Mus musculus: one gene and its partner. The protein of the gene in region 1 purifies or fractionates together with the protein of each later gene. This does not show direct contact. Links are inferred from orthologs where the notes say so. Each region holds a gene or a part of one and is shown on either strand. Other genes may lie near its edges.

The links.
Region 2: the proteins of Haus5 (region 1) and Haus2 purify together in Homo sapiens (affinity purification with mass spectrometry; 5 studies listed by BioGRID and IntAct, with this or other methods). This does not show direct contact. The link is inferred for Mus musculus from reciprocal best matches to the Homo sapiens genes HAUS5 and HAUS2.

What each region holds. Positions count from the first base shown.
Region 1 is NC_000073.6:30,662,195-30,666,180, reverse strand, and holds the start of Haus5 (HAUS augmin-like complex subunit 5), read left to right. Parts: upstream 1-1,186; 5' UTR 1,187-1,252; coding exon 1,253-1,350; intron 1,351-2,895; coding exon 2,896-2,958; intron 2,959-3,053; coding exon 3,054-3,086; intron 3,087-3,220; coding exon 3,221-3,245; intron 3,246-3,986.
Region 2 is NC_000068.7:120,607,921-120,612,184, forward strand, and holds the start of Haus2 (HAUS augmin-like complex subunit 2), read left to right. Parts: upstream 1-1,464; 5' UTR 1,465-1,532; coding exon 1,533-1,625; intron 1,626-1,674; exon of another isoform or gene 1,675-1,738; intron 1,739-4,264. Other genes in the region: Lrrc57 (leucine-rich repeat-containing protein 57), read right to left, coding at 1-147, 753-891, 998-1,103, 1,361-1,464.

The DNA of each region.
Region 1 (3,986 bases):
TTAAAAATTAATAAAATGAGCATTAAGTCCATTGTCTCTCATTTGTTTCTCATTGAATGAAAATCAGGACAATGTTGCGGTAATTTCTCACCCCAATAAGCCCGTATAAAAAACACACAACTCAGTTATAGTTATAAGCTATATGCCTAGATTGGGCAGATCTATCACTGTACTAATCTAGTTGCCAACTATGAGACTTCTTGCTACTTGCGGCTTCTCCAGGCCATGTCTCTCTCCTCCCTCTCTGAGACTGGGAAGAAGGCCCAGTGAGATCACCTGAGTATGCGCTCTGCTCATTGTAGAGGACAGCTCCTCTTGATGAAGCAGAATAAACATCAAAATACAAATGGCGCCAGGGCAACCCACAACAGGACAAGAATGCTCCTAAGTATGGGTGAGAAGGATTTTACTGTAGACATGAAGAAGAGTACAGCCAGAGGCATCTGGAAGAGTTCAGACTGAATATAACCAGCAAAATAGATGGGGCCACGAGAGGAGAGGTGGGGAGTGGGGCGGGGGCGAGCTAAGAAGAGAAGACTTGGAGAGAGGGTTCCAAGAGGACCCCGAGGGTGCTTGGGAATAAAGAGGGGAGTGGCCAAAATGGCTGAGTTATGAGAATCTGAAGTGGGCAAAGCTCGGGGGCTAGAGAGATTCGGTGTAGGGGCGGGGTATGCCAGGCAGGCAGGATGACTCTGTAAGAGGTTGTTGTGAGAAGGGCCTGAAGGAACCTAGAAGCTAGCATAGACCTCGATATGCCAATAGACGCCACCAAAGGCATAGATTAATGGAAGAGTTCTATGTCCCTTCTGCCAAAGACGAGGAGAATGACCACTTTTAGCAAGTAAAAACGATTTTCTTAAGTCCCTGAGAGAATGATGGGTTTTGTCTAAAAGCCCGAGTTTGGGAAAAGGAAATTTCTTGCACGTTCCCACCCGCCGCCCCCTTTTTTTCCCCAGGTAGAGTGAAGCTTTTAGAACCTTCTGCCTCTTACAGTGAGTGAAAGAACAAAGGTGGATAAGCGGGTGTCTGAATTTCACCCCATCCTTTTCATTTTCATTTACTAACCTACATACACTAGAGCGCCAAGAGCCGCTACGGGTAGCGGCCCGGTACAGAGAGACCCGTCAGCCGGGACCTGCTGTCTGCTTGGCAACCGGTGACATCTCAGCGTCGCGCTCCTGACGTCATAGATGGGCGCCATACTTAAAGAGAGTGCGGGAAGCTGCGACTGCAGCTGAGCTCTGTGACAGCCATGGAACTAACGCAGAAAGAGCGGGAACTGAGTCGCTGGGCTGCTGAAGAGATGGAGGTGCCCCTAGCAGCTCGCCCCCGGGAGTCGACGCTGCGTAGGTGAGGCTGCTTCTGGAGTAAGGTCTCCCCATCCTGGAATTAGCCTCGAGGAGTAAGATCACCGCCCTGTTAGACCCCCGGGGCCCAGGTGTAGAGAACGCGACCCCCAGAAACACAGCTTGATCATAGACGCTGTAATAACAAGAGGTTTTTAATCCGACGCACATGAGGTTGCTCAGCCTCGCAGGGAGAGTCAACCCCGATTGTCTAAATACAGCTAATTTATACTTTTTGTGAAAGGGCTCACACAGCTATTTTATTATTGGCTAATAAAGCAACAGTATAATTTTAATTTGGCAGAAAACTTTGTCAGCAATCAGCAAGGTCAAAGCAGCTTGTAGTTTTCCTCAGAATTCAGGCTGAGGAGGGCTAGGGAGGTTTTCTCAAGGATGGTCATTTCTGGCAGCTGTGGTCTTTATGACCACTAGTCTGTCCCTGCAGATAGGGAAGGGGCCGGGTGGTCTTGAATTTGTTTACACTGGCAGGGAAAGAGAAGAATCTTTCTTTCTTTCTTTTTTTTTTTTTTTTTTTTTTTTTTTTTTGAGTTTCTCAAGACAGGGTTTCTCTGTGTATCCCTGGCTGTCCTGGAACTCACTCTGTAGATCAGGCTGGCCTAGAACTCAGAAATCCACCTGCTTCTGCCTCCCAAGTGCTGGGATTAAAGACATGCGCCACCACTGCCTGGAGAAAGGGAAGATTCTTTAAGCAGCAGGAGACAGCTGAAGATAGAGAGTGGCTGCTGCAGACAGCTTGCAGCAGGAGACAGAGATAGGGGAAGCAAGCTCTGCAAATAACTTTGGTATACATTAATTAAGCTAAAAACTAAGCCGGGCGTGGTGACGCACCCCTTTAATCCTAGCACTTGATAGGCAGAGGCAGGTGAATTTCTGAGTTCGGCTACACAGAGAAACCCTGTCTTGAAAAGACAAAAACAAAACAAAACAAAATATTAAGCTAAAAACTATATTTCTTCCCAGCACTCGGGAGGCAGAGGCAGGCGGATTTCTGAGTTCGAGGCCAGCCTGGTCTACAAAGTGAGTTCCAGGACAGCCAGGGCTATACAGAGAAACCCTGTCTCAAAAAACCAAAAAAACAAAACAAAACTATTATTTCTTTATCCCTCATCGAGAATGAGACAGATCTGCAGAATAAGGGGGTTCCTACAGCACCTCACCTACCCACTCTTACCCTAATCAAAGGTGACACTAGGCAGTTGGCAGTGGCTGTTCTATTGGGGATCAAATCTGCAGAAACCAGTAGCATATGACCCTGTTATGAAAGACCATTTCCTGGGGTGGAAACCTCTTACACCCACCTCTGAAAGTGACTACAACTAAACCTCTCCTAGAAGAAATAGAACCTGTCATGGAATAAGAATACCCTCAGACTTAGGGAGAAGGCCACCCTCTCAGTGACAACCCCCAGGCCCACCCACCGAAGTGAGAAATCTTGGAACTTTCCACCACCATAACTGTGGAGACAGTGGAGGGTCCTCCTCTCCTCCTGGGCAATGCTCCAGTCATACTCTATGCTGTATCCCTTCAGGCTGTGTCTGAGTCAGGGCGCTGACATCTGGGCCTACATTGTGCAGCATGTGCGTAGTCAGAGGTAAGCCAAACCTAGTGCAGGGGAGGGGGTCAGAGAGTGGGAAAGGCACAGGGAAGGCCCACAGCAACTCCTCTCCCTTCATCTCTCCAATGCAGGAATATCAAGAAGATCCAGGGAAACCTCCTCTGGTAACTGCTTCTTAAATTCATTGATTCCTATCTTCACCAGTTTTGTCTAGCCTTGTCCATAACCAAGGCCTCTACTTCCTGCCTTCTCCCCTGGAAGCCCCAGCCATCTCCTAACTCTATTCTCTTTTCTCTAGGCATGCCTATCAGGACAATCCAAAGGTAAGAAGCCTGTGTGGTTAATATTCTCCCTCAACCAATAGTCAGCTTGCAAATATTCTGCTCTAGGCCCTGGAGGTGATGGGTCTGTCAGGAACACCATGTTACAAAACAACCCAGATCTTTGCGCTCCCAGGGATTGCGATCCAGGGTGAGCCAGGCACGAGATGGGGAGCAGTGGTGTATGGACATGGGGCATTGGTGTTGGAGAGAGGAAGGTCTTGAGTCCTATAGTCTCAGCACTCAGGATGAAGCAGAAGGGTCAACATGAGTGTAAGGCCAGCCTGGGCTACATAGTGAGACATGGTCAAAAGTAGACACAGTAAACAAAACTGCTAAAAGGAGAAGGATGAGTTTGTCAGAGCTGCTAAGGAATTCAAGGAAGAGGTCAAGACTAGGAGGGGGACCTACAATTAAGAGCATTCGCTGCTCTTGAAGAGGACTTATCCCAGCATCCAGAGCAGATGTCTAACAGCAGACTGTGATTTCAGTTCTAGGAGATCTAACACCTTCTGGCCTCCACTGGTACCTGTATGCATGTGGTACACCGACATACATTTTTTAAAAAAATGGAGGCTGAGTATGTTGGTACTTGCCTGTTATCCCAGCACGTGGATGCTGAAGAAGACTGTGAATTTAAAGGCAGTCTGAGCTAGTTTACACACCAAAACCCTATCTCAATAAAAATAAAAAATAATTTTAAAAAAGCATCTGACAGAGATGTAGGAGTCACCCCACAGACAG
Region 2 (4,264 bases), on another chromosome or scaffold:
GTAATGCTCCCAGCTGATTCCCAGAGAGGCTCAGCGTCTTCAGGGCAGACAACTGCCCAAAGGTAGATGGTAGCTCTCTCAGGTGATTGTTGTTGAGACTTAGTGTCTCTAGTTTTTTCAGATTGCATAATTCATCAGGTAGAACAGCTGGTGAAGAAGAAATTAAAAAACAAATCCGATAGAATTAATGACATTTATAAAAAGACAGTATGGTAGCCTGCTTCATCTTGTTTTTGAGACAGGATCTCATTAAGTTGTCTAGGATAGCCTTGAAATTAAGATCTTTCTGCCTCAACCTCTGAGTAGCTGGGGCTACTGTAGGTCTAAGTCACCAGGTCTGGCTTCTTACATAGAATTCTCACAGGTCATGTTTAGGTTTCACAAACTGTTTGGGAGGTTAAGAAGCCATCAAAATGCAGAAAATTGTGTATGTGTGTAAGGGGTTCCTTTTGCTTAGCTGTATTCTAAAAACGATCTGAGGGAGTTTAAAAGATCCTCCCATTCCACCCTGCCCCGAAATTAGATAACTGTTTATATCGATTCCCAAAGGTCTTCCAGGTCCAAATTAACCTAGTAATAATCATTATACCACCCAAAGAGGCTTTTATATTTAATTACAAGAGATTAAAGCTTCAATACTCTAACATTCTGCATCCCCTAAAATGATTTCATAACAAAAATCATCTAACAGGAAAAACACCCTTCATAACTGCTGATTACTAGCAAAAGCTGCCCAGACACAAATTCCATACTCAGTTTGTTGTTGTTGAGGGAGAGGCTCTTTAGCAGAGTGAACTTTCCTATTATCAGAGGCGGTAGGCTGTCAATCTTGTTGTTGGATAAATCGATGGTCCTAAGATTGCTTGTCAGCTTCTGCAACTCTGAGGGGAACTGGAGAAAGGAGCTCACAGTTTGGAAAAATCCTGCACCAATAGTCTTCGCCACCCCGCCAACCCTAGCCCTTTTAGTTTCTTGGTCCGGTCCCCTCAGGTCTCACCTCGGTCAGACCACGGTCTTTAAGCTGAAAGACACCAGTTTTCTGCGCTGTTTCCACATGAGCACGGAGAGCACTGTTACCCATCCTAGCGCCACGGCTCAGTTCCCTGCAGGAAAAGAAGCATAGCTGTCACCGCCTAGTCTAGACATACAGTCGTCGCTAAATCTCCCGTTTGGGTCTCCTGTCCCAATTGTCACCTTCTGCCTATCCCTACTTCCCTGGGGCCAGCCCAAGAGTGGCAAGGAGAAAACAGGCGAGCAGGCAGCGCTACCACAAGGTCCTGATGCTTTGGCAGCAGAGCTAAGGGCCAGGGAGCCTCCGATAGCTGCTGCCGGAACAGGGAGCTTGAGACTCGCCTCCTACCGCTCAGTGCAAAGAAGACTCCGCCAGGGAACACCGGGGACCCGCGCTCGCCTGAGACGCGCTCCCAGGGCTTCCGCCCGGGCAGGAACGCCCTGTGACATCATCAAACCGCGCGCCTGTTCGCGGTGTTGCCCCTCACTCCTCGCGCCAGTTCCAGAGGTGTGCGGAAGCCATGGCGGCCGCCAACCCGTGGGACCCAGCGTCCTCGCAGACTGCAGCTGGGTTACTGCTAAACCACTTGGTAGCTTCGGGCATAGTCACTAAGGTACGTGGGGGCGGCGATGGCGTCATCAAGGTGGCGACAGAATTCTGCTGTGAGGTGGTGGTCCTGGTTATGCGGGCGTGAGTGAGCCAGCTGAGGACTGTGACCATACTCCCGTGGGTTCTTCGAGTGTGAGGGACTGAGTGGCTGGTGCACTGAGTGACTGAGCACTCTGTTTTGAGTGCCTGCGGGTTATCCCAGGACGGTTTGTGGGAGATGGAACAGCGCTCCACTTTTTTTTTCTTCCAGTGACACTACCTCTAGAACAAGTGTTCCTAAGGCTGCGACCCTTTAATACAGTTCTTCTGTAGGACCCCCGATATGGGGACTCCTACTCTAGTCCAGGGATAGGGTGCACCCACGAACACACAAGAATCCTTCTTGTTGCAATACACACGAGGCTTTATTGGCAGAGCTCTGGGCCGACACGTACCTCACACAGGAGGCAGGGGAGTCGACCCCGAGTCTCCAGAGCTAGGGGTTTTTGTAAAAGAAAAAGGGATAGGGATGCGAGGAATTTTAACAAAGGTATGGGATTGGGTCATTCAAACATTAACAGTAAGATTACATGTCAGCCAAAGGGCATCCGGACCTTGTTCCTGTGGGCTGGGGGCTTAACTTTGTTCTCATAGCAACCAGGTGATGTATGAAGCAATGCTGGGCCTCCAAGAAAAGGCCAAAATCTTTCACAGCGTAATGCCATCACAGTTCACCCTTATTATTTTAGCACTATTTATTTAGAGACCGAGTCTTGCTGTGTAGCCCTAGATGGTCTGTAACTCACTATCCCTGGCATTACAGGTGTGTACCGCCATGCCTGGCTGTTAACTCACTTTATAAGATGATATGGCAAAGAGGAGAGGGTAATGGGATCTAATTCTTCCAGCTTGCTGAGAGATACTGGAAGATTTTTTAGTCTTTTTAGGTGTTTCCTTTTTTTTAATGGAGAGGTGTCCTCACTCTATCCTAGGCTAGCCTTGAACACTGAGCCATCTTCCTGCTTCCAGCTCCTAAGACTCCCAAGTCTCTCGTGTCAACCATATGGAGGGCTGAATTTAGATCCCTAACGCCCAAGTAAAAGCAGTATGTGATGGTGCGTGTCCTAGAGCTAGGGGCCAGATACAGGTGGGGCTTGCTGGCTAGCTAGTCTAACCCAATCTATGTTACTATTGGGGTCTGGGCTAGAAAGATTTAGGTTCCTGGCCTCTTATCTAAAGAATTGAAAACAGCTTTATTCTGAGGGAAGGAATAACACAGAATATAGAGAGATATAGCATCAAGATTGAAAGCAGAACACTACAAAGGTCCCAGGTTATAGCCTGAGCTCTAAAGGAAGGAATTGTTTACATACAGGCATGGTTTGAGTGGTTCTCTACTCTTTTTTTTTTTAAGATATATTTATTTTGTAAATGATTATTATATATATATGAATGTATGTGTATCATGTGCATGCCTGTTGCCCATGGAGGTCAGAAGAAAGCATTGGATCCCCATGGAACTGGAGTAAGCCCCCATGTGGTTGCTGGGAATTGAACCTGGGTCCTCTGCAAGAACAACAAATGCTCTTAAATGCCAAGCCAGCTTTCTTTCCAGTCCTGTTTCTCTACTTTGGTTGATAGATTAGGTCAAACATTCTTTTCTTCTAGTGTCCATGTTCCTTCCTATAGCATCTGATTTTAATCATATGTATACTGTAGTGCTTTGAGTGAAAATGGCCTCTATAGACTCATATATTTGAATACCTAGTACCCATTTGATGGAAGGATTTCACCTGTTTGGGAAATATTAGGAAATGTGGTCTTGGTGGAGGATGTTTGTCTTTGAGCGTGGGCTTGGAGGCTCTTTTGGCCTCATGCTTATCTCTCAACACGTAAGTTCTCAGCTTCTTCTCCCATGCTATTTCTGTCTGCAACCATGCTGTCTGTCAAGATAGTCATAGACTCATAGACTCTTAACTTATGGAAGCATGAGCCCAAAAATTAAATGCTTATGGAGGTCAGGTGATTAATGGAGTTTTGGCTGAAGTCCAACTCACTGTTAGGTCCATTGAGTTCCCAAACTTATCCTGTAGTTATTTCCCCAGTTCCAGAATGTATATTTGGGATAAATATACTTAGAAGTCGGCAGAATTCCCATATTGGTTTCCTGACTTGTGGAGTGAGGGCTATTATGTTTTGAAAGGCCAAATGGAAGACATCGAAGTTGCCTCTACCAGGAAAAATAGTGAATCAAAGACAGTATTACATCCTAGGAGGAATTGCAGAAATTAGCAACACAACCAAGGACCTAAAAGATGCAGGGGTGGTTGTTTACAACACATTTCCTTTTAACTATCCTATCTGGCCAGTACAGAGGACAGATGGATCATGGAGAGTGACACTATGACCATCAAAAATTTAATCCAGCTGGGCACTGGTGGGACATCCCTTTAATATCAGCACACAGATATGCAAAACATTCTCTCTCCCTCTCTCTCTCTCTCTGCATATGTGTGTATCTGTCTGTCTGTCTGTCTGTCTGTCTTGTGCACACACACACATACACACAAACATGGTGTTATGCTGTTCACTTAGAAAATAGAGGTGTGAAGGTTAGAAGTTGTAGGACATCCTTGGCTGTACAGCAAGCTCAAGGCTAGCTTG